Linked DNA regions of Lepisosteus oculatus. The protein of the gene in region 3 purifies or fractionates together with the protein of the main gene of each other region. This does not show direct contact. Links are inferred from orthologs where the notes say so. Each region holds a gene or a part of one and is shown on either strand. Other genes may lie near its edges.

Region 1 (7,074 bases), on a different chromosome or scaffold from region 3:
CGGACTACAAGGTAGTAATGGTACTATGATTTCCTTACAAAACAATTTTAGGCTGTGAAAAATGCAATAGATCATTCACTTTCGGTTTCAGAGTGATCTTACAAGATCATTATTGTAAGGACATGTAAACACTACTTCACAAACGACCCTGCGGTGTACCGTATCTGCTGGAATTAAATGGAAGTATTGTTTGATAAAGAAGACTTGCCATATTTTTTTGGCTCCCAAGTCAGACCTTGATTTAACTTTTGTTTTTGTTTTGAATACCTTGATGGGTATGGTATGACACGTTGATGGCATAAAGGTGCTGGCATTGTGCCTACTGTGCATGAACACAGAACACTGAGACAAACTGCTGTTCCTGGAGACTAAGCCAGAGGCTTCCTTCTCGTGGCTGGCGAGGCTGTATGTGAAGTGTCGATGGGAGCTGGACTCCAACCTGTGAAGATGGGACAGAACTTGGCGCGAGGCTGGGCTCAGTATCGCCAGCAGGGAAGGTGGCAGCTGTAGGGTTAAGGAGCACGTTGAGCAAGACTACTGGTGGGATTTGAGTTTCTCTATCATTGCGGCTGCCCATTTCTCCAAAACCCGAAGGAGATATTTCTGCAATGCTCAGACCGCCCTGCTAGGACCCCTTTCCCAACGCCACCTCAGTGGGTTGATCTGAACCGTTCTGCAGTTTCTTATTCGCATGATATACAGTTGGTCTGCAGTGGTTCATGTGGTCGTCTTGAAAGAAAATGAACGTACTGTACAGTGATGATCAGAAGATTGGACAGAGCTCAGCAGTCATTGGGAACATTGTTGGAGAGCTCTTCTGAAGTGTTTTAACTGTTGTAACTCTACTCAGAGTTTGTCCCTTGTGAACTAGAAATCACCTGAATCATTACCTTTCTACAGTGAGATGTGGTCCCAGCAGCCCCACTACACAACAGACCAGGTCTAACATCCCAGGCTTACCAGGACCAGCTTTTGTTAGTTTCTAGATCTCTTGAGAACAGCCCAGATAGTGGTAACACTGATATCAGAAGGTAGTATACAGTGCCTGCAGCCCACGTGCTGTTACTGGGTACTGGGTACTGTAACTATATGAAGAATCAGGCCTTTCTGTGAGAGCTTGTCATGTTAACCCAGAAATGTGGCACTCTTTTTAGGGAAAAAAGGAAACTAATAGACCTACTTTGCAAGTTCAATAGTTCTGCACTAAATTGATCAGATACATGCATTTCTCTTATACAGAAACAGAAAGTGAATAGAGAATGTTAACAGCAATGCAACTCCTGTGTAAGCACTTCTCGGAAATCATGAGGAGAGATCTGTAGCGATTTAACCTTGACATTTGTTGTATCTTAAGAACTTACTGAAAAGACCATGATTTCAGTGTGACTACAGGCCAAATTACTTCAGTCCCTCAAGAATTACAAATGATGCTTTATATTGTAACAGCTTTGTGTAGGTTTGAAGGGGGGCTGGGGATGGATATACAGCATATGAAGCCGAAAGCTGTTTCTCTTAGTTTTCTGAATTGTTTAGAAAATACAAACTGTACCAATTTGATTGAAAAGCAAAAATCAAATTCAGTCTAGTGTTTCTTGAAAGGAGGAGAACTGGAAAGAAAAATCTTTGAAATTCTCCCTTGGCAGATGTTGTGTGTTATCCAAATTAATAATGCAATCTTTCCTGAGTGCACTATAGCTTGCAGATTCATCAGAGGTCAAGTGTGAAATGGAATGTATTACACATTACAGTTTTTTGTGAGTGTCACGCTGATTTGCTGTGTGATGAATTTCCTGATAATCTAAACACCTGTAATATCATTTGGAAATGTTTGTAATGATTCTATTTGAAAAACTGGAACATTCCTCTCACCCTCTTTCTTTTTTTTGGAAAACTAGTATTTAATTAATCTGTTTCTGTTTATGACAGAAGAGCTTTACTTCAGTCTATACTGTAGTATCAAGTATTATCTAAGTGCTTACTCGGAAACTTTCGGTGTCAGAAACAGACTGGTGGTCGGGAGGTGTATTCCGTATCGGGCAGTGCAGTGAGTCGCAGAGGCTGAAAGGCCTAATAGGGTGCTGAAGTCCGTAAATCTGAGCGTTAGATATCAGCACTGTTTCCTCAGTGCACTACAGCTTGCAGACTGACATCATTAGCACTCAAGTGTAACACTGAATGTATGTAACAGTACAGAAGACTTTGGCAATGCTGTTCTCAATGCTGTGTCACGCAGTAAAAAGCAATGTGGATTATTCGGATTAACCTGAGTATTTGTTCACTTTTGCAGCTATACGTAACCTGTTAAATTTCTCCATAAGACACCCCTGAAGTAATACAGAATCATTGTAATGAAACACTTGATGCATAATTGACATGTAATTGTAGGAAGCCAGCCTGGAAACTACTTCCCCATGTATATCGAGAAAACACTTAACATGAAGAGTTCTGCTGTGATGTATGTGTAGATTTATTTTTAGTTGGTTAAAATGGGCAATAGTTTTGACATAGCGAGATGTTTTTATTATTAAGAGATAGTTTCCAATGGACAATAGTTGATGTATTCATAAAGAACAAGTATGATTAAACAGCAAATGAACAAATTAATTCCCAAAGGTCAATTAATTCTCAATTTGACTTAGCTACAGCCCCTCTTTTTTATCAGTGGCACCTTATTTTAAAATGCATTACACCCAGCCTTTTAAGTAAATGCCTGAAGAAACACAGTAATCTGTTTAAAAACCTTGTTCCAGATTTGGCTGTGGGTGTTCTTTATGTAGAAGCAGTCTGTCACATCTTCATTTTGTTAGACCAGAGGTCTTATATAAACCACCTTAACTTTCCACTCAAATTTGTGAAATCATTCAATTTTGTTTTAACTTGAGCAAGAGACCTTATTTAAAAGATTAGTGTACCTCAGCAGACAAAATGTAATTACACTACTTGACCTCTCCCTGTCTTTTCATGGTTTATCCTGCAAGAAGTTATTAAAAAGTTTTAGTTAATTCAAGGACAAATAGGAATGTTAAATATCTTATCAAGATCCACAAAATATCCAAATCATCAATTCATTTGAAGATTTCTTAAACCCCCAATCTTTTCTGTGAAGACATGTTTTAAATTTTCCTTTTTGAGAATTTGGGGTGTTTTTCTCTCTTCGCGATTGCAGTCCTGTATTACTGTGAAGTCCTTGCTCCCTCTTCTTTGTCCTACAGCAGGACAGGACAGAGGGATCTTGCAGTGCTTCCTGTGCCCTTTAATCCGTGTTCATCCCACAGCGCTAGAGGAGCTCCTAACTTCCAGAAGTGTTAGAGGCGGACGAGGTCATTGCTTCAACTTTGTAAAGTCCTACACAGAGCGAAATATACTTCAGAGCAGTGATGCACACTAACTCAGAACACACACCTTACAAAATCTAGATTTGCACGCAGTTTGCACACAGAACAATTGGGTTACAGAATGAAAAGAATAAAAACATTTTTGTTCTGTAAAAAAGTCCTTTACTTTGTCAAGTCTGTAAACCAATATAGTATTTGTAGTTTTCCTCATCTTTATATAATATTAGAATATTACAACATTATTTCAAATAAAATCATTTCTGCTTGGAAAAAAGTCTGTAATTTCTAAGTTAACAGTACATAAAAAATACACAATTTAGCAAAGGTGTCCACGATTCTCTTTGTGCCATCAATCTCAGCATATTTGAAGAGAAAGCATTAACAAAGTTACATAACCCTGGTCGTACTGCCAGGTAGCGTCAAAAGGACAATGAAAATTAACATTTCAACAAGCCTGATTATTTTTGTGTTTAGTCGGACTGGCAACTTTTCTTTATAGCTGTAGACACACACACCACCTCAACAGTGATGAGTTCAACTCAAACTAAAGGCTAGATGCTGCTCTTTTGAATAAAAAATCCATGAATTTCTTCCTTTATCTCCATTTTGCAAACATAGCCTGTTTGGTCACTGTAAGAGGCAGCTCCCAGCGCATTATTGAAGTACATTTATCCACACACAGATGGGTTTCAAACATGCACGCACAAAACCCGACACCTTTATGCAAAATGTTTTCGTGCAGCATCATCGACACAAATGTAAGTGGCAGCCGACGCGGAGGCTGCTGGACAGTGTGAGTGGAAAATCGGATCTTGTGGGAAGGGTTTGCTGGGCTTGACCCTCGCTGCCTCAGACAAGCGAGTGTGAAATCCACATGAAAGGTAAGCAGCTGATAACACTTTGGTACAAAGGGAATATTATTTCTTTTTCCCATTTTTTCCCCTTCACTTTTATCTTTGAACCCTCTCTTGTCTTGTTTCACCTTTTTTGTTGTTGTTGTTCTCCTTTGTCTCTTCGTCTTCAATAAGACACGTACCAGCCTCTTGATTCGAAACCAAACTCAACTTTATTCTTTATTTATGAACGCAGCAAGTGATACTAGCGGATGATAGGAAAAGCATTATGTTACCAAGTCTCTTTCTTTTTTTCCTCTGCCTTTCTCGGCGCAGGCTGGTCCATTGATCGAACTTGCTCAGCTTAGCTGTTATTTGAAAGCCAATTGATTTATTTATTGTCATTTATACTCTTAGTGTGGAGTACAATAAAATGCTGAAATAGCGCCTTATTTTGTATGTTTATCCAGCAATTATGAGCAAATCACTCATGCCTAAGGGGTCTGTTGCCATAGTTACAATAGGGTTCTAAGCACTATCATCTGGTCCTTGCGTCATCCAATCAGGTTGGAGAGCCAAAGCTGCAACATAAAGTAAAGATGCACATCTTTCAGCAACACAGTAGTAAGAAACAGAAACAGGTTCATGAGTATAAGTAAGTACTCAGGGTGGCAAGTAGGCGACTGCGCCCAGTCATGGCGGAACACGAAAATCAGACCCGACGAACTACTCAGCAGGAGAGGCAGGTGAGAGCATCGTCCCTACCGATTTAACTCCCTTCATTCTTCTTCGAAAAGTGCTCTGTGAATCAAAAACACAGGGACAGTAAACAAGATTAGTCTTTTAACGTTCAGCTTCCGAAAAAAAAAAGCGAGAAGATGAATGAAACAAGGGAAGGGGCAGGGGCGAGCGGGTCGGCCAGACTTTAAAATTATTGTTGTAGGCCTTTCAGATCAAATTTTGTTAAAAACAGCGCCGTCAAAGCACTCCAGCTGGGCTCTCGCATAGTTCCGATATATTTTTTCCAATTCTTATGTTGGGAGAATTAAGCGACCAAGTCAGTTTGGCTGAATGAGAGTGTGCGTCTGTGTGTGTACAAAAAAAAGCGGGCCTAGATTAATCATAGTATTCTAAATCTCATTACTCGGAACATCTGAGAAAAGATATTTTCAAAAGCCTCTATTAAGGAGCTGTAAATGGAGGCCTTTATGAGATCAAAGGCACTTGAACTGGGACGAATTTTTGTTTGCAATCCCTATGTTTAAGCAAGGCTTGAATGTAGGCAGCGGATCTGCCGGACGGCAGCGATGGCCAGCCTGAGCTCCATATCCCAGAGACCTCCTGCTGCGCGGCCCGTGAGCCTGTCGATACTGCAATGTGATGTCAGTCAGAAGAAAGAACCACCATAACAATCAGTGGGGAAGGAAAAAAGGACTCGCAAACGAACCCAGTTATGATTAAAGATGGCGGCCATACATACCGCAGTGTGCGTAACGCGCCACGGTCTGTAAAAAAGCAATCGGAAACCGTTTTTTATTCGGAAAACACCCGATAGAAAAATACAAACATTGGGTAACTCCATAGATCAGGCTAGGAGTCGGGATCATGCCCACAGCTTTCCCAGCTTGCATTCATCTTGAAATCAATTGTTGTGCTGTGGAGTGCTTTCCTATGGTAGGTGCGCTGTTGTTGTTTTCCTAGTTTTCGTGCCTCTTGCGGACTTGGCTGCAGTCAGCCAGCGGATTTAACTGGGCAGCACAACAATGGCTCGACTGCTATCAGCGCATCTGAAAACTAACACACCACAGATCATGATGAGCTTTCGTGCTTTTTTCCTTGTGTTCATTCATCATCAGGCTTTCCTTGTCCAAAGTGTACCGCCTTTGGAGGCACAGCTCTGGGTTAGAGTCAATACTGCCTTTCTCCAAATACACTAAATTAACAGAAGGACATCACCCGGTTTTGAAGATGTATGCATATTTTTCCAACGTAGTTCTGTAATAATAAGCAAAACAATATTAAATAAACTCTAGGAGGCAAATCTTTTAATCCACTGTGGCTAATCCACTCTCGGGTTTGCTAGTCATGAGATATTCAGCGATGACAAAAGACATCAGCAGGAGTCCAGAATACATTTTGTGACAGTCTTTTGGTACTTTTGCTCTTTTAAGACAGCACTAAAAAAGAGCAGCATATCAATACTCAAACCCACAAGTACTCCTTCTTCTTTTCATTCAAATAACTTCATTAGTCTTGATCAAAATCAAAAGATTTCAGACCAGCATAGTGTAGCCCAGATCCCCAACTGTGATGAAAAATCTTCTTTTTTCTGTTAAAAACAACAAAATAATCTGAGATGAATTAGTAGTAGGATCACATCATCTGCTTCACAATGTTACTTATAAACTAGCCTAGTCGTGTGAATTTATTTAAATTATTGTTATTATCACATACGAAAATTACTTCTTATGCTACCACATTGTGCAGTGTACCTGTAGATTTGTTTCAATAAAAGTGCATCTTGAAAATGACATTTTTGAATGTACAATAAACTTACATTCCTTTTAATGTCTAAATGGCCCTATTGTTGAATCACTGGCCTTTCTTAAGATAAGCCTATTTCAAGCAGACCATACACAGCAGTGTAAATCTAAATTGGCAGGTGTAACAATAGAGTGTGGACAGAGAACTCACTTACCTTTTGCTAGCTTTTCAGCTGGTGTTTGAGCTTTCAGGAGTTATTGTAACTCTTTTTTATACACCCCTTTAGATCAGTACTTGGTGTTTGGCGCAGTTACTGTCAGATGTTTTGAAATATGTATTTTGTCTTGTTGTCAGGTTGGGTATAGTTTTCCTTGAGTCACTTTATAAAGCATTTGAACATGTATTCTTTTTTTTCTGTTCAT
Region 2 (6,836 bases), on a different chromosome or scaffold from region 3:
CGATGAGAGCAGGGACAGAATATAGCCAAACACACACTCCTCCAGTAGTCCACAGGGTATAAGCCCCCCTTCAGCATCACCCTTCTATTGATCTGTCTACTTTAAGCAAACATTCATATGAGCCACTCTGATCCATTAATGAGTGCAGTCTCCAGGGAGGTGCTTGCCATGCTGTTAAACTTTGAGTGCGCTTCTTATATGCTTTCTACATATTGGCGCAAGCTAACACAGACATAAACACTCGCTCTCTTTCTCATAGGAGATGGTACTCCCAGAAATCAGTCGCTTCCCTTTCGTTCTGAAAGCCTACCAATTTCAGAGATTAAATGGCATTAGCAAGGCTGCAGTATCCATCTTCATTTCAGATAATAATGCGCTGAGAGAATGTCTGTGGATGAGCTAAACCAGTAAACCCGAATGGCAGCCAATGCAGGACACTCTGGAATATCTGCTGGTTGTATTGATCATTAACAATTTAGCACGCGATAAAATAAATTGCATCCCCTCCATCTGTAGCACATAAATCACATTATTACTGTCAGTAGCACAGAACAAATCATTTTAGCAGGAAGGCTACTTGAATTGACTGTTTTCATGGAGTGCTGTCTTTCATTTTTCTGCATGACCTGCTGTCTCAGCACTACAGGACTGATATCAGAACCATTGCCATTCCATTCATGCTGCCTCTATAAATAGCTCTGTCTAAATAACATTGTTCTGACTAGAATGAGCACAACTAAAGGAAATAATTATCAGGGATTTAAGGATTTTTTGACATGATTCATGCATCGTAGTATGCTTCCAGTACCTGCTTTATTGTTAACTTGACCTTTGAGTAAGTTAGTTTACAACATAAAATTATCTGTCTACTGTATGTAGATAACCTGGATAGATAGATCTCTCCATCTTAATTAGTAATTCAATTTTATGAGTGCTTTTCACCAAACTCAAGCCACTCAAATCTGTAGTTATAAATCTGATACATGTTGTGCAATTAATGTATTTATTGAGCTGGATGTGTGGTGAGGTGTTCATTTTTGTAAAAGGTAATTAAGGCATTACATAACTGTTCAAAAACTGAATAATGGATATTTAAAAAATATATCTATTCATTCAACAATATCAAACACGAGGCTTGAGAATTACTTTCAGAATTCCTGACAGTTACCCAGGCATATGACAGAAATACAACAGGCTGCATACCTCAAATGGAAACCCTGAAAAGATACATCGTCCCCTACACAATTCCAGGGTGTAATTAGTTCAAAATATGTATCCCTGCACCCAATTGCCAAGATCAGAAATACTCCATAGCTATTGGAAAGTTCAACCGGGGCCTAAACCATTTTGATTTGCTTACATGATTTGCCACATCATGTAGTTCAGCTTGCTGAATAGCCTTTTAAATGTGCTGGACATTGATGATTCTTGCAGTGGTGAAGTGTGAAGGGTGACCTGTACAATTCCCTGGGGCACCAGGTAGATGACACCCATGTGTGACTCTTTTGCTGCTATGATTTCACCCTGACATGCACCAGCAATGCACACGCAGACACAGAAGAACAGCTGTGAGATACAATCCAGTTGTGAGGAAGAGTGAGAAGGCACTGCTCCCCGTTGTTCCAGTCCACCCAGCTGTACAAATGGGAACATTATATGCATTACTGTGCAGAGTGATAGACCAGTGTCCCGTCCCATCAAGTGCTCCCAGTTTGCTTAACACTACAGAATCCAGGATAAGCTCTGGCCCAATGCCTTGCTCTGGTATTGATATATATATATACTTTTACATTATATTATAATTTTTATAACATACAGTCAACATTTACATTACACAATAAACATTTTATCACAGGAGTTTTATTCTAAACGGCACTGTAGAGCTGTCTGACTGGAGTGGTGTAATTTCTAAACACGTCTGATTCTCAAACCAATTTCTACCTTAAAACACTTTGTCTTTCCTGTAATAAACACAGCTATGCCAGGAAGCAGCCTTGTGTTTTGTTGAACCAGAAAGTATTATCTGCTGCTTTTTCTGCCCTCCTCCACCTAACATGAGACAAGTCACATGACAAAGTATAAAAGAAACCATAGCAAATCGAAGCCATGGAAATATAGTCATGAATACAGCCAGGACACTAAAAGTACACGGTGCACTGGCAATCCTCTGTGAGCAACAGTGTGAATGATTTCTGCTGTTGGCTTCACCAAACAAAGCTCAGCACCCCAGCTTCAAAAGAGGTGCTCTGCTGCCTAGAAACAGCCCCCATCAGCAATTAAACTGCTTCTTAAACTGCACTGCAAAGTCCACAGTCACTTTTAACAAGCCAGTGAAATCAATCAGGCTGAAGATGAATAAATAAGCAAAATAGGTGGAAAGACAGCAGGGAGTGAACTAATACAGTCCAGACTGGAACGAGACATGGACTATCTCTGTAGGTCCCCAGATATAAGAGCAGGAAAAGATTTCAGAAAATAATTTTTCATGGGTTATTAAAATGGTTATAAAATCAGAGAATAATCGTGTTAGTTATCAATGAACCTGACAGTGCACCACTTGTAGGCTGAGCAGATACAGTTTCAGGAGTAGCTATCTGTCTGAAGGGGAAGAAAAGCTGAACATTTTAGGACTCATAGCTAACAGAACAGGATTCTCTGATGTTTGAGAGATTTGGCTTAGTTTATAATACCAAGAAAGGCCTGAGGGATTTGGGTTTTTGAATGAATAATTATTTATATATTTATTTTGCTAACAACATTAACCAAGGCAACCCATGATTAATTACAGTTATTTCATAACACAGTATAAACGCAAACATAACAGTAGAAAATGCCCCATTGTGTCACTGAGTAACTCCAGGACAAAGGTTGTAGCTGTTATGCGAACAACTGTCTCCAGAAAAAGAACCAAATACATTTTACATATGGTTAAGGGAATGTACTAAAACACTTTATTTTTTTGTTCACAGCCTTATTCCAACAGCAGTGTTAGCAAATTCTCTTCTGATCTTGAGCGATCTCAGGATCAAGGAAAAGCTAGTCAGTTCTGGGATGAGAGACTTCCAAGGAAAACCAGAATGCTCCTGTAAGGGTTGTTTTGTGGAGCAGTAGGTAGTCGTTCGCACTGCACTGTGTGGAAGAGTAGGGGTATGAGCTCTGATGCCCTGGATAACTGAATACTCTGGTCCTGCACCACCTAGCCTCCTTATCACTTAATTCAATTTGAGAAGCATTTTTTTCACTTCTCTGGCTGATCTACAGTATAGTTAGTGGAGCTTTTAGACATAATTTTCAGAGGTTGACGAAAACAGTCCCTTCCTTGATGCAAAGGGAATAGTGATTCTTTAGGATGTAAAGCGCCATATAAACTCAAGTAATTATCATACTCGTTATTTTGGCATGGCGAAATTGATCTTAAATAAACTCGAGTACGTTACACATCAGGCTCTTCTTTGAGATGCGCTGTATAAGTGAACTGCTCGACATTGTATCAGATTAACTACTTCTGTCATCCGCTTCGCAGACCGCACGGCTCAAAGACCCGCCGGCAGGACTTCCCCGCCAAAATGACGCACACAAATTCTAAATCCCACCTTTCGATTGGCCTCTATTCTGCCACGCGCCGCCGTTCCCTTGCCGGGTTCACTCCCTCCGCGGGAAGCGGAGCGTGTTCTGCTACATCGCTCCATCCTTCCCGGCGCCGCAAGCATTTGCAGCGTGCGAGTTCAGTGCAGACTAAAAAGAGAACACAAGGTGAAGGACGGCATCTCAAGTGAAAAGTTACTGAATGAAAACGGGTTCTCTGCGCTGCCTTACCTAGCTGGGGTTCTTAGTGTGGGACAGGATTTGAAACTGACGCCATTCCGTTTCTACACTGCCGGCCGTTTCTCCCTTGAAGGCCAGATGCTCGGTGAGCCCAAATGGCGTACGGAAGGGGTCGCAGTTGCTTGCGCTTTTCTAAAAATGTTGCTGCGCTGCGGCAGTTGCCAGGGGACGTCGGAGGGGAGGGGGCGTGATTGGCTGAAGTAGCCTTGTTGCCGTGGCGACGGCAGGGGGTTTGGTAGCGTTGCCGTGCGGTGTGATTTCTGCGCTGCGTGGATGGAGGAAGCAGCTGCTGATCTCTGACACAGTGAGAGAGACAGGCATCTATATGCACATACTGTATACAGATTCACTGCCATATTGCTAAACAGGCACAGCGTGCATGCATGTAAGTACAAACGTGAATTCATTTTTTATGCTTAACAATGCCTTTGGGTAGTTCTCCCTCTTTATCCTGTGCACTGAAGAGAAAATGGGTTATATGAATTAATAACGTGACGCGATGAATATTTATTTCCCCTCCATATATCTTTTAAGGACGTATGGTAGGATTTGGAGGGACACTTGACTCCCCACTTCTGTGGTCCAGTTTTTTTTTTAAAAAGAAAAATGTGTGTGTTGTGTGTAAGTTATTTCGTTCTCCGAGTTGGGCTTCGATTTGGTTTAACTTCGGTCCCGGTCAGAGCAAGTTAATGTGGTGTATTGGAAGAAATAAAGTTGACGGATTTGACATGTTTACGCAACATTGTTGGGGAGATAGTTGAAACGCCTCTGTCTTAGCGTTCTTTTGTTAGTATACAGTATTATTGTGAACCAGTAATACAAAACACAAAGGATCGTTTATATGTAATCCCCTTCCTTACCCAAGAATGGACTGTGTAGATAGATTGTATATCCACAAAACAGAAGGCAGGGTCATTGAATGCGTTTCGTCTTAGCGAGCCCTTATCGTGTTCCTGTAACGAGTCATGCCATTCCGAGAAGTCCTGGCAGGGTCGGGCTTCGCATTGTATTTATTTGGGAGACTTTCTTGAGGACTAGCCGAGCTGAATGCACTTCATATTTGGAAAATGCTCGCAGTGCTCACCAGCACATTCTCAAACGGTACGGGAATCAGGAAACACTCGCCTCGGCTCGAATGTAGGGCAGCTGTGCCGCGTGGGCAAACCAGCCGTTCGCGTGCTCACGTCTGCGGCGCGGCCGTTCCGGAACGCACAGCTTTAACTTTTATTTCACGTTGAAATCCAATAAAGATAACGTGGGTATAAGGAGGGAGCCGTGCGCATTGTTTCCGGTGAATCGGGGGCTAGATTGTATCGCTGAGTGACAGAGACACGTGGTCAGGGGGAGCCGGGCCGAGCTAGAAAAGGTTTCGGGAAGGGCTGTACCGACAACTTCTCTCCGTCGCGCTCGTCACATGAGGTGTGTTTCTGGTTTGACGGTGCTCTTGTTTGTCGCCCATGCACCCTGCTTCGAAAAAAAAAAATTGCAGGGCGCCGTGCCAGACACAGAGCGAGAGCTCCTGCCGTGCGGACCCGAGGAATCCCACACGATTCTATACTTAGCACTGGCCGACATCTCGGCGTAGTGTTTTTAATTTAGGCATTTTTCTCGAATAAACACAACGCGGAGTAGTCTAGACGGGTAGACGCTGTCTTCCCCCCCCACCTCCCAAACAATGGATTTTCGATTTGTGTGCGAAGATCAGCGAGCCCCGGTGAGGGTCTGAGAGGCAGCGGCAGCCGGGATCGAAGTCTGCTTTCCCCCGTTGGCATTGCGTTTTTGTTGAACTTGTATGGAAATAGCCATAAACTAAAAGACGATAATAACTCGGAAAGTGTACTGGGCGTCCCTTAGTTGCTCGTTTACAAGAATTGATGGTGCACCCAGTCCTGCTACAGTAAGGATTCCAGGGGCTTTTTTTCGACATTTTCCCGATTCCGTCACTTAATGTACCTTTCAGTATGTCCCCATGTGTCACACTGACTCGGAGTGGGGATCTGACCACATTCCAACAGATTTGTCCACCACAGCCTCTGTCCTGTAACAAGATGATATCATCCCGTTAGTTTGTCTGTCTGTTCAGGAAAGTACGTGAACAATCACTATCATGCATCAACGGGCTGTTTATTGCGGTGAAGTTTAATCGGCTTACTTTCGGTTTATTTTTCTTGTCTTTTGCAAAAGTGTTGTGAAGGTTTTAGCCGACAGGCCCGGTGATCCCACAAAAGCAGTGCAAAGGTTGATCTTTAGCTCTGGAAGTGGGTAATCTCTGAACACATGATGTAGTAGGTAACAGCAAAAGCATGTCCCAGATCTGCAGTGCATTCCAATCAAAGTGTTTCTCTCTGAGCTGTGTGGTAGATGGCCTGTGCACATTGGCAGAGTTTCATTGCCACGCATGGCTGTTACCAGTGGTTTTAGTGTCTTTTCGAAGAATTGCATCAATATGGGATTCTCCTGTCTCTTTACTGTCATGTTTGTAGCGATTGCGTAAAGACAGTTACTGGAATACCTTTGAACTGGACTGTAAGACTGGTTTGCTCTTTATTCTGTTGAAGTTTCTGTGCATCAGGTGTGCTCAGTCACCCAGTTGGTCTAGCAGATGCTGTTTGCTGGCACCTACGTAGATAAATAAAAACAAAGAAGCCAGAAAATATAACAACCTGTCTTTTAATTACATGGAATCCGGTCTCTGAGAATGCTATATAGACTAGAATGGCTTTTCGTTTCAACCATCAGTGGAGTTGGTTACTGTCTGGTGTGTGTGCCCTTGTTTAACAGTCAATTATTTTATTTAAGGTGTGTACCAGTGAAAGTTAAAATGTTAGCCGTTGCAGAGATAGGAACAAAATGTGTGCCTTATCCTAGTTTGTCCCAATACTAAAAATAAAACATGCCATGTAAGTTATGCTCTTTTTGCTGATGCTGGCCCGAATGAATTCAGCTGTATTGCATTTAGCAAAGTAAGTTTTTGGCACTGTAAGCAGATTCATTCATTGTCATATGGCACA
Region 3 (7,432 bases):
TTTCGTTCCACTTCACAATTGTGTCCCACTTGTTGGTGATTCTTCACATAAAATAAAAAATGTATATCTTTATGTTTGAAGCCTGAAATGTGGCAAAAGGTTGAAAAGTTCAAGGGGGCCGAATACTTTCGCAAGGCACTGTAGGTGCTTGATCAACTATATTTTTACAATTCTTCAAAAATAGAGGAGTTACAATTGACTAAAAGGACTAATTAAAATCGAATTATGTAAAATCATAACTTTTTTCCTTTCAGCTGTAAAGATTTAATATAACACTTTTTTTGAAACACCAAACTGTACATTTGGAAAGGGAGAAGACAGTTAAGTCTAAAAACTTCTGCTAACAGCATCCAATGGCCTTTTTATTTATTTTTTCACTAAAGTACTAAAGAAACGCAGGGCAGGCCTGCTTTTTCTGTGGCCTGGTATTAGTTAATTGTACATTTATGGCTGTATTTCCAACCATGGATAAAAACCAACTAGTTTGCAACATTCCCAAACTACACACTGCACATCCAATCACAGGACCATATCCTACATAGCCCTTTTCAACAGAATATTTGTAAAATATGTCATGTTCTTTTCTGTCCCTAAATCCTGGGAAGTAAAACAGTTTACACCAAGGGAATTGAGGGGAAAAAAAAGCAAAGGACCAGACATTTATTCCATCCTTTTTGTGTGTAGAAAGTATATGTATATAATTTACAATTCACTACTCATCTTTAATCTAAAGTATGGTATAAGACTCTATTATGTTAAATTATGCAAAACATAGCCCATGTGAAATTAGTTGAAAGGCTCATTTTCTGCTGGCTCCTGCGGTGAGGTGATTGCCTAACAAATTACATTTCAGTTCAAATTTACAATTCATCCATGAGAGCAAGAGAAAGATATTCTGAGCATCACAACTAGACACATGAAGCTGAGGACTGTCCACATTTATTTCCTCCTGGAAATTTACACCCCTGTATATATCCATGACTCATGGAGTTACAGACATACTGTATGTTATCCATTTTTTTTTCCTTTTATTTATATCCTTATATTTATATCCTTTTATTTCTTTATTTTCATGATGTTTTTTATTCTGCTTAGATTGCTATTTGCTGTGCTAGCTACCCTTTCCAGAAAAAATAACTTCAGATAGAACTTTTCTGAAAACATAATGCAATGAAGTCCAGTCTTGTACTGAATTAATGGAGCAATTCTGAACTTAATTATGAGTATCATACTTTAAATAATTCTGTCATCTAGAAATTGAGCAAAAATATACAGTAATTAAGGCAAACACTTCTCATCTTAGATATGACTGTAGAAAACATGTCCTGTTTCAAAATGTCCTAAGATTGGTGGGCCTTCTGGAAAACCCTTGTCTTCAAGAACCCGTCCTTACTGGGATAGTCACTTAATGGCAAAAACAAACATGTAGATAGAAACCCCAGCAGGTTGCTCCCACAACAAGGCACAAAACAAGTCAGGATGAATATAGCAGGAAGGGGAAGTTGATTCAAACTGGTCCTTTAAAGAATTCAAGAAACACTATATGTTTCACATTGGCACAGAATACCCTCCAGCTATGCATTGCTGCACTCTAGAATAAACTCGTAAGTACAGAAAAAAATGTATATTTTATACTTGGTGCTCATTGTGTTAAGAAAAAAAAAGCAGCCAGAAAAAAACTTCACTATTTGTCTGTTAAAAATTAATAGGCTGCTTGCCTATGCATATGATAAAGAGATCAGCTGTCAATTGAGTTATTGTATTTTTACAGTTCTTGGTCCATGAGTTCTCATTTCTATGCAAAGGAGCCATTAGTCATAGCTGTGTTCCCGCACAGTGTCTGCTGTACAATCGGATTCTTACAGAGGATGAATCTTCCAGTCCAGCAGCCTGGCAATAAATAATCCTTTCTTCTGCTGACATAAATCAAGAGAAATCATACACCTCATTTTGTTGATTCTTCTATAAATCTGTCAATTGTTCATGGGAGCTATGATTGCATATTCATGAACACTGTTGAAAAGTTTAATCATTTATTATTATTAACAATAATTAATGTGCACAAAGATTTATTTATAATTACTTTGTTTTGGAATATAGTTTAAATGACAAATGCAAGCTGGATATGCCCACAACATGGATCATAATAATGAAAAGGCAATAAAGGGAATAGTCCTTAATATCTATACTGCACCTATGAATAAGAAAAGAAGTAAAAGAAAGGATATATTACTAAAATATTACTAAATGTACTAAAGCATAGATTTAGCAAGAGAACAATGCTTTAATACCAACCTGAACAATCTACATCAATGTTACCACTGCAACCACAGCCATGCTTACTACTATAATACTAGAGCCTGTACTATTACAAATGATGGTCATTGTAACAATAATGCAGCTCTGACCTGGAAATCCTTGTCACTTCTTGACTTTCTCGGTGGTGACACGAGCTACTTGTGCTAGGATAGAGGATCAGATGGGCATACTATTTAAATGGTATACAACAGTTACGGCTTTAATTGTTAATGATACATTGGAAAAACATCTGAAAGGCTATTGATAAGAAGTGTTGAGGTACGGTCACACAGCGGCAACCCCAAACAACTAGAAACTATATGGACGATGGTTTGATCTGCTAGGAAGTTGTTTGGATTGGTATTTTGTTCTCTGATTTTATCTGTCAATAGTACATGAGCCTGTTGACAGTAATAAGACAGTTTCAAAACAGCAAGCCTAGAATCTGCGCATGAAATAATTTTATCTTATGATGTAGCAGAAATCTAGTCAAGGTGTTTGAATTTAAGACCCCATACATACTGTAGTTGCACACTGAAGAGCTCATACTGGCCTTGTCTCAGTGCCTGTCTGATTTTAGTCAAACTTTAAAAGTGGACTACCTTTATTTTGTAGCTTTGCCTTAAGCTGTCCCACTGGTCCTATTTTACCACCACAAAATTCCAGGACTGACTTACTAAGGTTCACGTTTGCTAAAATATCATATCAAATGTAATAAATTGTATTTATTTTCAGTAGAAACACAACCATAAATAGCAAAGTTTCCATACATTACTGGAAACCTTTCTTTCCAGGACACCAGAGTTGCAGCCACAGTGTATTAGCTGTGCTTTTAACATTATCATTGGGTTCAAATTCAGACATCTACTAATTAAAGCAATATACAGTACGACTAATAATAATAATGCAATTAATTGAACACCATCTTATGTACTATTCACCTAACTTCATGTAATATCTTTACTAATAACTGAAATTATAATAGTGCTATCACTGTAATGTCAAACTGTATATTTGGAGTTCCATCTATTCTTGATCAAGGAGCACCTTATTCCTAAGGGCTGCTTGGAGTTATCCTGAAAACAGTGCACAACGCAGTACTACTCTCTAGACTGGACACCAGTCTCAGAGCACAGACACACATTCACAGGTGCAGCTACAGTTTAAAGACAGCAATTAACCTGGCCACCATGTCTTTGGCAGGTGGGAGGAAACTAGAACACCCAGGAAAAGCAGACATTAAAATTGAGAGAGCATGAAACGAATCCGGGATACAAACGACGTGAAGCAATATTTTATGTGTTTTTTTTTAAATAACAATGAATTAAAATTAATAATAAAGCAATTTTACAGTTCATAATAATACAGCTTTAACATCGCACTTAGTATACAGCACATCATAAAAGCATATTATGGCATACCATAGCAGAACCAGATCAAAAGAGCATTGCAGCATAGAACAAGAATCCATGGAGAATAAAAGTAGAAATTAAAATAAAGAATGGTTAAATGACCGGAAAACCTAATCCGTATACGATACTACGCAGACGTTCAGAATGGAATTTGCACATTAACTATTCACTTCTTGGGTAGTTATCAATACACGTATTTATTATGTAATCAGTACACATGATAGAATATACACATGTGCTGTGCTGTCATATATAACACCACTGGATAATTCCACGATTGTGTCCACTTCTATATATGACAAACTGGATATGGCCAAACCAGTGTTTAATGTTTCTTTTTTTAATTGTTCCATATTAAATCAAATATCGCTTGTATGTAAAACACGAGACATACTACAATAGCAGAATTATCGCATTTCAGCTTTAAAAAAAAATAATATTAGATTAAAATATGTATCCAGTTATTATACTAAATGCGTAACTAACCGACAAAACAAAAGATCGAAAAACTACACATCCCAGAGTAACGCACTCGCTTAGTGGGATTTGTAGTACGTAAAGGCTTATTGTAAATAAAACAGGAACTACCAGAATGCATCAAAGGCTTTTATAGCGCAACTGGGACTTGTAGTGTTTGAGATATGAGCATACACAATATTTAGGGTTGAAGAAACTTCAAACCCCACAATTCTGTTTCAGCCGTGCAGCCTGGGCCGCTGGGGGGTGAGTGCCGTGGAACGGATTTTCCTGTCTGCAGCAGCGGCAGTGGAGAGACGCAGGTCCCGGGGCTGAGAGAGAACCAGTCCCGGACAGACTGACGATGGAACCAGAGACGGTACTGCAAGAGAAGGCTCTGAAGTTTATGGTGAGGAGATGACAGGGCAAAGTCGGTTTCTGACACTCGACAGAACCCAAATGAGATGAAGGTTTGGGCTTGTCCATAGCGGTTTGTGCTGGAAATGAATGTACCGGTGGGTCAAGCCGCCATCTTGGACTATGATAAATAAACAGACAAAATAAACTTACGTTTATTTATTGAAAAAAATCCGTAAGCTAAATGAGATCTTTTCAGGGAAGAGAATATAATGAATATTATGTGTTGGTGTGTTGATCTTGATAGTTGTTTGCTTGAAGTAATCGATGTGTTTTTCTGCCCAGTGGATGTTTAGCTTTGGCCTGTGTTTACATTATGCTTGATTCGGTGCGCTTGAATTTATGTTACGTCAACTAATATTTGTATCAATTTTATTGAAGTGTACTTTAATTGAGGTGTAGACTATACTCTTATATTAGCTTTTTAGATGTTGGATATAGTGTCTTTCATATAGGCCATTTTTGTTAGGTTTTACTGGTGGATGTATTTCATATTTTTCCTTGACGTGTCCTGTGTTGTGTTTCAGCACAAGTGGTCACGTATAATTAAGTCTTAATGTTGTCTGTGTTGAATATAAACTACAGATACGCTCTTTTAATTGATGGTTTTGTCCTTCAGATATCTTGAACAGTGAGGTTTCATCTTGAAATAATTACAGGTTAGTGTGGATTATATTGAATTCTGACATAAAATGAGAATTCAATGTAATTCAGAATTGTAATCCACACCACACTTCAAAAGACTGCCAACACTTAAATACTTACCTTTGGTATTAAAGAGTAGTTCAATGCACAGATTTGGCTTTGCAAGTGGGCTTACCCCTTTAAAAAACAAATATTATTCATATTCATAGTCTAAATAAACATTATTTATATGTATAGTGTAAATATAAGATATTTGCATATGTGATATGGTTTAAGGTACATTAACTTGGCATGCACCACTAAAAATATTAATTCCCAGATTTTGTAGACTTTGTAAGAGGTTTCTTTTCATCTCAGTAGTGTTTGTATTTATATTGAGTTCTTCTGACTCAGACTGAGTATTTACAGTACTGAATTCTCACTTGTCAGGTTCAGTCCACAACTCATTACAGCTGTGTTTGTTTGCCCTATTGTTGGATGGTCCTCTCAGGCTTCCAGGCAACATTACTGGACACTTATTGTTATTGTTCTGCTTGTTTTATTCATCTACCAACATTTCCAAATGTGTAGAAAATCATTATTGTTTAACAAAAATGAATGAACTTTCAAAGGATTGTGATGGCCTATCAGAAATTGTTTTGGTGAAAGTGAGACTGAGAAGTCACAATGTCTGGCTGCCCAATGGCTTGCACAGTGTGAGATGTGCAATAAATGTTTGACATCTTTCAAACGGTTTGGCCTACTGGAATGAGATTTGGTATAACTACATAAGTCAGGCCAGGTTCCCTTCTCAAGGTTGTTCAGGTTGCTACATTCAAGAACATGGTCACTGTAAAATCAGCTGCTTGTGAAAAACGTTTCTTCAGAAACATTGGGTAAGTGCAAATCTGATAAACATTGTCAGGATGATTATAATTTGGTTAGAACAGCACTCCTGTCTTAGCCTTCTTGACTTTCTGAATATTATTTAGTTGTCTTGTCAAAACACAGACTGTTTCTGAGCAAACACTTGGGCATTTAATTCAGTAGACTCAGTAGATGTTACTGGCCCACGAATACAGTTAACATGCTGAAAGCAGGTTCTCATTTAAACCAAGATGGCTGCCTGACCGCCATTTTGTTTTCCAACATCAGCATACTGTTTTGTCAATAAAGAATTGTCATTTTTTTCCTGAAGCTTGGAAACCGTCTCTTTCTGGGGGAAATGCTGCACAGATTGAATTGAAACATGACATGGTTTATTACGCTGACATCTCCTTCAGTCTTGCACCTAGTGCATTGCAGCAGTAGTTCATCACCTGTTTGGTGAATTGGTGCCTTGTAGTGCTGTTTTTCTTCCAAGAATTTGCCAGTGAAAACCTGTTGTATATCATTGTAATGACGTTGCTGTTAAGAGTATAGCAAATTAGGATCCCTTCATACATCAGGATGCCAATTACTTTGTTGTTTTGTTGGTGTGTGTCCTGTACCACAGATTGTACTATTGGCCATTTAACTCCAATTCTGGTAGACATTTCTCAGATGGCAGTGTTTAATTTTTGGAATGTGGGATCCTTGTAGAAACCAAATTACTTGCCTAGCTTCCATTTTTTTCTGGATCTTTAAAATTGCCTGTCTTGGGGGAGCTCTGTGCTAATTGAAATTTAGCCTGTCTTATTTACATGTAAACCAGCTTCAGACTGCTTTGTTGAGGTTTTGGTTTATATGCCCACGCCAGGTATTCGTGTCCTTGGTGAATCATGTCCTGTAACAAAAACATCTTAGTATGTATCATTCTAGTGGCTGCATAATTATGATAATGCAGAATGCCATTTCTCTGCAAGCCATGGTTCGAAATTTCCTTTTGATATTTTTAAGTGGAGTATACTGCATACTGCTGCTGTCGAAAACTTGTATTTTATGACATGGGGGCTAGCTTGAAAGCCTGTCAAGCTGAATGTGGTTTTGTAATTGTATTTTCCTTGAGAACTCAGTCTATTGATGGTACAGTTAGTGTCTGATACAATATCATCTTTAAGGCATAAGCCAAAAATGAACCAGCACCTTATTGACAAAAACAATAATTTCACAGTACAGTGTACTTCTAATGTGCAGTGCTGCCTCTTGTATCCAGTCTGTACTTTTCAATTGCTGTCCGATTTCTGAGAAGTTGTAATTTATTATGCAGTACATAACAGAAATACACCACTTTAGTCGTGCTGATG
Region 4 (7,030 bases), on a different chromosome or scaffold from region 3:
GCAGCTTTGGAAGAGGAGGTTCCAGAGGAAGAGGCCGGGGAGGTGTGTTCCACTTTTACTCATTAAACTCTATCATTCTTTTTCTGCTGTCCCTAAATTCCAGGTGCTCATTTTACAATCCACACATCCATATTTAAAAAGGTTGCAGGTTTCACAATACTTAGCACAATGTCACAAGTGGAATACGAAGTACATGTACAAAATCAAGAGCCAAATGATTTGCTAAATCTTGGTTATTGCAGCATGAAGGTTAATCTGGATTGGAAACTTCACTGTCGGCAGTATTCAGTGAACATTTTAAAGTGCAACTACATTGTTTATCATGCTAAAAGCTTAAATACATCTTTTGCTTTTACAGAATTAGTGTAATCCCGTCTAATTGTTCTTAGAACGTGGCGTTCTGGAGTTCTGTTCCTTTCTGTATCATTACATCTGAATTGATTTCTCAAGAATTATCTGGCAGTTCTGTGCTTGACAAATTGCTCACTTTGAACATGTATTCATTTGTCCATCACAGGTCAAAGTCAAAACTATAACCAAGGCTATAATAGCTACTATGGTCAGAATTATGGAAGCTACGGCAATGGGTACAATCAAGGATACAATGACTACAGCGGCTATGATTATTCTGGGTACGGCTATAATAACTATGGATATGGACAGGGATATGACGACTACAATGGTAAGCAGAACTATTCATTACAAATCACCCGAGTGTTTAAGTTATAAAATTACTGTGTATTTTTATATCAAAAGCACATAACCGGCCTAGTATGTACAATAATGAAGATCAGTAATGTTGCCTTGGATTTTTATTTGCTTTGTTTACGCAGACAAATTTCTTAGGTCTATATGATAGCAGATGGTCACTATGAAGTTTTCAGTACAGCAAATCGATTTTTTGGGGGGAATTTGAAGTTTAAAATAACTTACTGTTACTTGGGCCCTTGTTGGCAAATTTACCATTTGAATCTTTTTAAAGCATAATCCCCATTAATAACTCCCAATAAATTGATTTGCTTCCGGATTTGTAATTTTTACCATTATTTGGTTATGGATTTGGATTGTTTCCTTGTCATTCATGCTTTAATCTTAAAATTAAGCTTATATTGAAAATTGTTAATTTTAATATGGGAATACATGTTACACAAGTGTTCAAATCATTCTGTGATTATTTTAAAGTATGTATGAAGAAATACTGGTGGAAGCAGTTAAAGTAGGTATATTCAGTGTGGAGACTTGTACAAAAAATTACTTTGTATAGACATTTATTCAGAGATCTTTTGTACCTTTTTATATGGTACTTGTCCATGCCACTACTTGAATTCCCCAAGGATAGGGTGCAAAAAGTGTACAATTTCTGTATGATGCACTAATGTTTATTGAAGTAAATGACAACTTTTATTTTTAATTAGGTCAGCAAAGCAGTTACGGGAAGGCTTCAAGAGGAGGCGGAAATCACCAGAATAACTACCAGCCATACTGAAAAGAAAAACTAAAGGAAAACCTGCTCAAGGAATTTAGGTAAATTGAATCCTAACCCCTTGGCTGACTTCTAATAATTTTAAAGATCAATAGACAACTCAAAAAAAAAAAAACCTCCTTCAAACTTTAAAATGGTAAATATTGCCATGAACATCATCCCGAATGTTTCATTTTTTTCTTTAACAACTGTCTATAGATCTTTAATATGCCATGCTTTCTCTGGCAGTTTTTTTTTAGTTCTCCAGAAAAACGTAAGGGTTTTTCTGTAGGTTTCCTCCCTTTTCTCCTTTGATTTTTGTAACAGGTGATCATGTGGAAGTAACATAAAGAGACTTATTAGCAATATTAACAGGTAAAGTACTGCTAAAGGGTACAAATTAAGGGCCTATCTTTACTTTCCTTCTTCCTAACTCTGATGTTGTACCTTGTTTGTACCTGCCAGCGGGAACTTCATTGCAGGCCGTGTGTCACCCTGACCACGTCATTCTCTGGGCGTCGCACATAGCGGGCAGAGAGCACGGCATGCACAAGAAAACGCTGTCCTGTGGTATGGTCTCTTCCAACTTCCTGTACCAGCGTAAAGATAAAAAAATAAATAAAAAAATGGAAACTTCAGACTTTGCCTTTTTATTTGACAACGGCTTAACTTTTGTGTAAATGGTTTTTTGCAGGATTTGTGTTTAATCTTAAATGACTTAACTGTTTAATTGTATTCTGTTTTTATTTTAGTGTCGTTCTTGTATTTCAGTTCTGGACCTTCAGTGATTTTTGTTTTCTAAAATAAACTTTAAATTGCTTAAACTTTTAATGCTTGCTTTTTCTTTATAGCCAGTAGAGAAACCTTCAAATGATAAAATAACGACTTTTTTTAAAAATGTAGGTGTTCGGGATCATATGTAAAGAAGCTTACTGAAGCCAGCAAAAGCCATTCTGTAGAGGTCAACTGTGTGCACTATTAACCTCAATTTGTAACTGCCTGAAAGAGGGTTCAAAAGTAGTGGGGGGCGGGGGGGGTGGTTATGAATTGCTCTTCAGTGGTAAGTGCATCTGCTTTAGAAATGGAGCTACACCTAAGCTTTTGCTGGCTGTATCACTTCTGCCAAGCTGAGTGTGATACATATGATCCTTAACACGAGAGAACTTCATAGCTTAAAGTTGGCAGCACAAGAGGTTAATCAGTGAAACCTGGCCGTGTTCTAATTTTCGGTTTTAAAGTGCATGGACACATGGAATTAATGTGCGCTGTCTCTTCTCTTTCAGGTGAGGAGCCCAGATGAGTTTTCTGCTTGTTACCCTGGTGGCAACTGAGAGATTCTAGTCCTTTTAAATCAAGAACAACTGTTTTTATTTTAAGATGACCTTGTTTTCTAAATTAGAGGCAAAGTTGGCACCAGCAGGTGTCTGTTTGTAAATAGAAGCTTTCAAGTTTTGTTGCTGGAGTTGGCTCATTCATTCCTTGCCATGTTGGTGTTGTAATGAAATATATTTTTGTTTGTTTTGTAAAGCGGTCTTTACATTTTTATGCTTTTTTATTTTGTGTTTTTTGCAGCCATGAAGGGAATTAAAGAGTATGGATACAAAAATGATCCTGGTGTGATTATTTTGGGAACTAAATGCACTGTTCAGTAGCCATTCAAATACTTAATCTCAAAACAGTGTTTCACTTAATGTTTTGAGCTTTTATTGATTTTTGTGATAAGTATTCGTTTACACCAAGTTTTTGATTGTGGAATTATTTATAAATGCAAATGATTTTTTAAAACATCTTTGAAATTCCTCTGAATATATTGCCGTCAAGTTGAGACGTTTTCAATTTTTCAGTTGGCTTTTAATGTAATTTACTCAACGTAAATTGTAAACTTTAATTCTCTCTGATGTTTTTGAACTTGATACTTCTCATTTAGAACATTTTAAATAGTAGATGGCTCACCGATGGTTTATATCGGGGCAAAAGGCCAGTATAGGGACTTACTGTACACTAAATAAAACTTTAAGTACAGCAATCTGAAACAAACGGTTGCGGGTTTTACGAAGACTGCGGCCTATATAAAGGTAAACATGCTAAGGTCCGGTTTGTTCCCTTGGCTCATAATAACGGCCCGCGGAATCAGGAGGCAGGTTTCATTGAAATTGAATTAGGTCAAATAGCTGTATCCAGGACATACAGCTCTACCTTTTGAGAAGCGGGGCACATTCAATGCTACGCGGTCTAAAAATGGTCGGTTTGTTTCGGCTTCACTCTATTAATCTGGATAATCAAGTACTTTTCCGGAAAAATCTCACTTTAGCTTGAAAAGTCGAGCTTTTCGTTTTAATTTCTCATCATAAGAAGACACATATTCTATTAATCGGGAGCGCTAGTTGAGTGTTATGAGTTTATTTAATGTGACCTGCATTTCAAGCGGTAGAAAAACTTGAGACCCGAGCGACTGTGATGAACGGCGCAGTACAGCGCTTCCCCTGAAGAGGGCTGCCTGCGATTGTGTCATACTTGTCCGATTGGCCCCATGCCGAACGTCGACGAGTGCTTCCTTCCTGCGACCATTTTGTAAGCGGCGCCATTAAGATTCAAAGAGCACTGCGTGTATTGAAATAACTGTTAAAAACAGTAGAAAAACAACTGGCCCTTGTTGCCAGCGTAAGACCTCTTTCACTTGATTAGTGCGTCTTCCAAACAGCACGCGTTTGCATTTCATTCTGGAGTAAAAGGCAAACCGGTTGAGAAAATATACCAAGGGTAGTTATTTCTTGTGCAATAAAAAAATGTCGGAGGAGCACCAAGTCGGAGAGGACCCGGTGGTGAAGATGGAGGAAGACGGGGAGGCGGGCGGAGAGGAGCAGCAGATGGCGACCGGAGAGAGCGGGGCTTCAGAGTCCGAGGGATCGAAGATCGACGCCAGCAAAAACGAGGAGGATGAAGGGTGAGAGACGGACGGAGACCCGACACGGACTCTGTAGTCTCCAGGGCGAACAAGGGGCTGCGGGCAGTACTGTCACTGACGATGCTACCACAGAGACAGGTCATCGACAAATGGGTCCCGTAACGTGTGCTGCATTAATCTGTGTTGTGCAGCGTAATCCGTAATGTACAACAGCAATCTCGAGTGACGCTGAAACCTTTGTTTTTAAATATAAAATGTCTCGCTGTAGCTGGCGATGTCTGGTACTCCAGTTGGAGTAAACTGCGGAAAATTAGTTTTTCTTTTTGCAACAGTACTCCAAAACGTGAAGCTGTACCGCATAATTTATCGCAGTCCATTATAATCACGACATTATAACAGAGTGGGATCAACTGGTGCCATATAGTTTATAGACCATTATTAAATCTAAGGGCGTTTAAACGGTATTAAAACGCACTTGAGAACACTGGCAGTGAAGTGTTATGACTGATACACACTTCTACCTGGTGTGGAAAGTATTTCTGGAAGTTGCTATACAGTTCATGGCTTTTTAAGTATCGTACAGAGTGGGTATAGTAACGTCAGCAACCTGAATAACCGCGCGGTGGTTCAACTGGGTCACACCCAAGTGTCAGCTATCTGAAGCGAAACCGGTTTGTCCTCATGAGACTCAACCGGTTTCGTGAGTGATGCTTGCTGAGGATTTGCACCCTATATAGAGTCACGGTATAGGTATACTTAGAATGTTTTTCTTGTGTTTTTCAGTTGACTAAAACGTTTACGGTGCAGACGCAGTGATTACTTAACTCGGATAAAAGTGTTACTACCTCACCCCAATTTCATTTTCAGTTGTAAATTGTAGATTTACTTTGATTACCTGCTACATTGATACATATCGCACTGTCTAGATAGGTATTTAAGTGCTCAGGAATGCAAATCAGTATTCTAGGTAGTTTCACGGTGTGTAAACTGTTAAGATATCTGGTTTTAAGCACAACATTTAGGAAGTGTTATCAAGGCGAGTGGCATGCTGTGCCATAGGTCCTGGGTTCAGTTCTGGGCAGGGGTGTTATATGGGAGGAGTTTTCACATTATTGCTGTTGCTCAGGTAAATTTTGACATGTGGTCCAGTTTCCTTCCAGTTAAGAAAGACATACTGACTATACGAGTTGTAGTATTTACATTTAGAGTGTCTTTGCGCCCTGCAGTGGTCTGGAATCCCATTCAGAGCGTCGTCACCCTCCATGTTCTAACCCCTCTATCTGACTCGGGGTCGCAGGGGAGCCGGAGTCTATCCTGGCAAGTAGCACGGGTGCAAGGCAGGGTACGCCCTGGATGGGACGCCAGTCTATCACAAGTCTATCACACTGCGCACACTCACACCAGGGCCAATTTTCCAGAAGCCAGTTAACCCACCAGTATGCCTTTGGACTGTGGGAGGAAACCGGAGCAGAACATACAAGCTCCACGCAGATAGTACTCTGGGAATTGAACCCAGGGACCGAGCACTGCTAGGCTGCAATGTTTACTACTGCACCACTTTGCTGTTCGAAGACAAAATTCACTTAGGCAAACAATTGTATTATAAGTTCAGGTGGGTAGCTGCGTCAGCATGCGTAGGCTGCAAAGGAACAAGTAATAGGTTTATTCCATGCTGAAAAAAAGAAGAAAGAGAACACAACGTTTCGGCCGTGGAGCCTTCTTCAGGTGAACACCTGAAGAAGGCTCCACGGCCGAAACGTTGTGTTCTCTTTCTTCTTTTTTTCAGCATGGAATAAACCTATTACTTGTTCCAATTGTATTATAATGTGTGTCTGCATCAGCATAAGAGCATGATGTGATGCTTATACCATGTTAACACATTGTCTGGTATGGCACCCAAGACACTGTTAAACAATACATCCATATATGGTATGTGCACATGTGGTTGCATGTAAACCTGTTCCTATGTTTTTCATCCTTAAAAAGATTGTTTTTAATGTACTTTTAATTCTTTAACAGAAAAATGTTTGTTGGAGGGTTGAGCTGGGATACAACGAAGAAGGACCTGAAAGATTATTTTTCCAAGTTTGGAGAAGTAGTAGACTGCACACTAAAACTGGATCCCATGACTGGACGGTCCAGAGGATTCGGCTTTGTATTATTTAAAGATGCTGACAGCGTTGATAAGGTATTTCTGTTTCTGAGGTTAGCATGCTGCCAATTTGCTAGAATTGCCTTCATAGTAAATGCACAGGCTCTCTCAAACATTTCTGCATTGTGAAGGTACTAGCTTATAGTGGTTACAGCTACTACTTACTTACAATTTTACTACCAGTTACTCACAAAGAACTGCTGTTCTAAAAGCACTTTCCATTTCGAAGATGTGTAGAGATTTTCCAACACGGTTATATAAAAGTACAGATTATTTTTTAATGGGCATATAATGCTGATTTCAGTCCTGTGCAAATGTTTTTTTTTTCTTGAGGATATCTTTCTTTAAGCATATTATACTGTGTATAATTTACCGATACGCTAAATGAAAGAAATGTCTTTTTGGTCCATGATCCTACATTTTACATTCCTGATTTGATCAGCAAATAATTTGTATGCCTAGGAAAACCATAGCTATTTTTATGGTTTGAAAAAAAAATAGAACTAATCAA

The links.
Region 1: the proteins of F-box/WD repeat-containing protein 1A (region 3) and axin1 purify together in Homo sapiens (affinity purification with western blotting; 7 studies listed by BioGRID and IntAct, with this or other methods). This does not show direct contact. The link is inferred for Lepisosteus oculatus from reciprocal best matches to the Homo sapiens genes BTRC and AXIN1.
Region 2: the proteins of F-box/WD repeat-containing protein 1A (region 3) and forkhead box protein N2 purify together in Homo sapiens (affinity purification with mass spectrometry; 3 studies listed by BioGRID and IntAct, counting the BioPlex papers as one, with this or other methods). This does not show direct contact. The link is inferred for Lepisosteus oculatus from reciprocal best matches to the Homo sapiens genes BTRC and FOXN2.
Region 4: the proteins of F-box/WD repeat-containing protein 1A (region 3) and hnrnpd purify together in Homo sapiens (affinity purification with mass spectrometry; 3 studies listed by BioGRID, with this or other methods). This does not show direct contact. The link is inferred for Lepisosteus oculatus from reciprocal best matches to the Homo sapiens genes BTRC and HNRNPD.

The regions. Positions count from the first base shown.
Region 1 is NC_090714.1:607,814-614,887, forward strand, and holds the start of axin1 (axin-1), read left to right. Parts: upstream 1-4,069; 5' UTR 4,070-4,216; intron 4,217-4,741; exon of another isoform or gene 4,742-4,914; intron 4,915-7,074. UniProt on the Homo sapiens protein: Component of the beta-catenin destruction complex required for regulating CTNNB1 levels through phosphorylation and ubiquitination, and modulating Wnt-signaling.
Region 2 is NC_090712.1:12,852,639-12,859,474, reverse strand, and holds the start of forkhead box protein N2, read left to right. Parts: upstream 1-3,833; 5' UTR 3,834-3,903; coding exon 3,904-3,910; intron 3,911-4,101; exon of another isoform or gene 4,102-4,210; intron 4,211-5,178; exon of another isoform or gene 5,179-5,244; intron 5,245-6,836. UniProt on the Homo sapiens protein: Binds to the purine-rich region in HTLV-I LTR.
Region 3 is NC_090699.1:35,670,522-35,677,953, forward strand, and holds the start of F-box/WD repeat-containing protein 1A, read left to right. Parts: upstream 1-4,422; 5' UTR 4,423-4,530; coding exon 4,531-4,575; intron 4,576-5,202; exon of another isoform or gene 5,203-5,242; intron 5,243-7,432. UniProt on the Homo sapiens protein: Substrate recognition component of a SCF (SKP1-CUL1-F-box protein) E3 ubiquitin-protein ligase complex which mediates the ubiquitination and subsequent proteasomal degradation of target proteins. Recognizes and binds to phosphorylated target proteins.
Region 4 is NC_090698.1:27,393,704-27,400,733, reverse strand, and holds the start of hnrnpd (heterogeneous nuclear ribonucleoprotein D0), read left to right. Parts: upstream 1-4,011; 5' UTR 4,012-4,248; coding exon 4,249-4,406; intron 4,407-6,386; coding exon 6,387-6,555; intron 6,556-7,030. Other genes in the region: hnrnpdl (heterogeneous nuclear ribonucleoprotein D-like), read left to right, coding at 1-42, 518-682, 1,416-1,486. UniProt on the Homo sapiens protein: Binds with high affinity to RNA molecules that contain AU-rich elements (AREs) found within the 3'-UTR of many proto-oncogenes and cytokine mRNAs.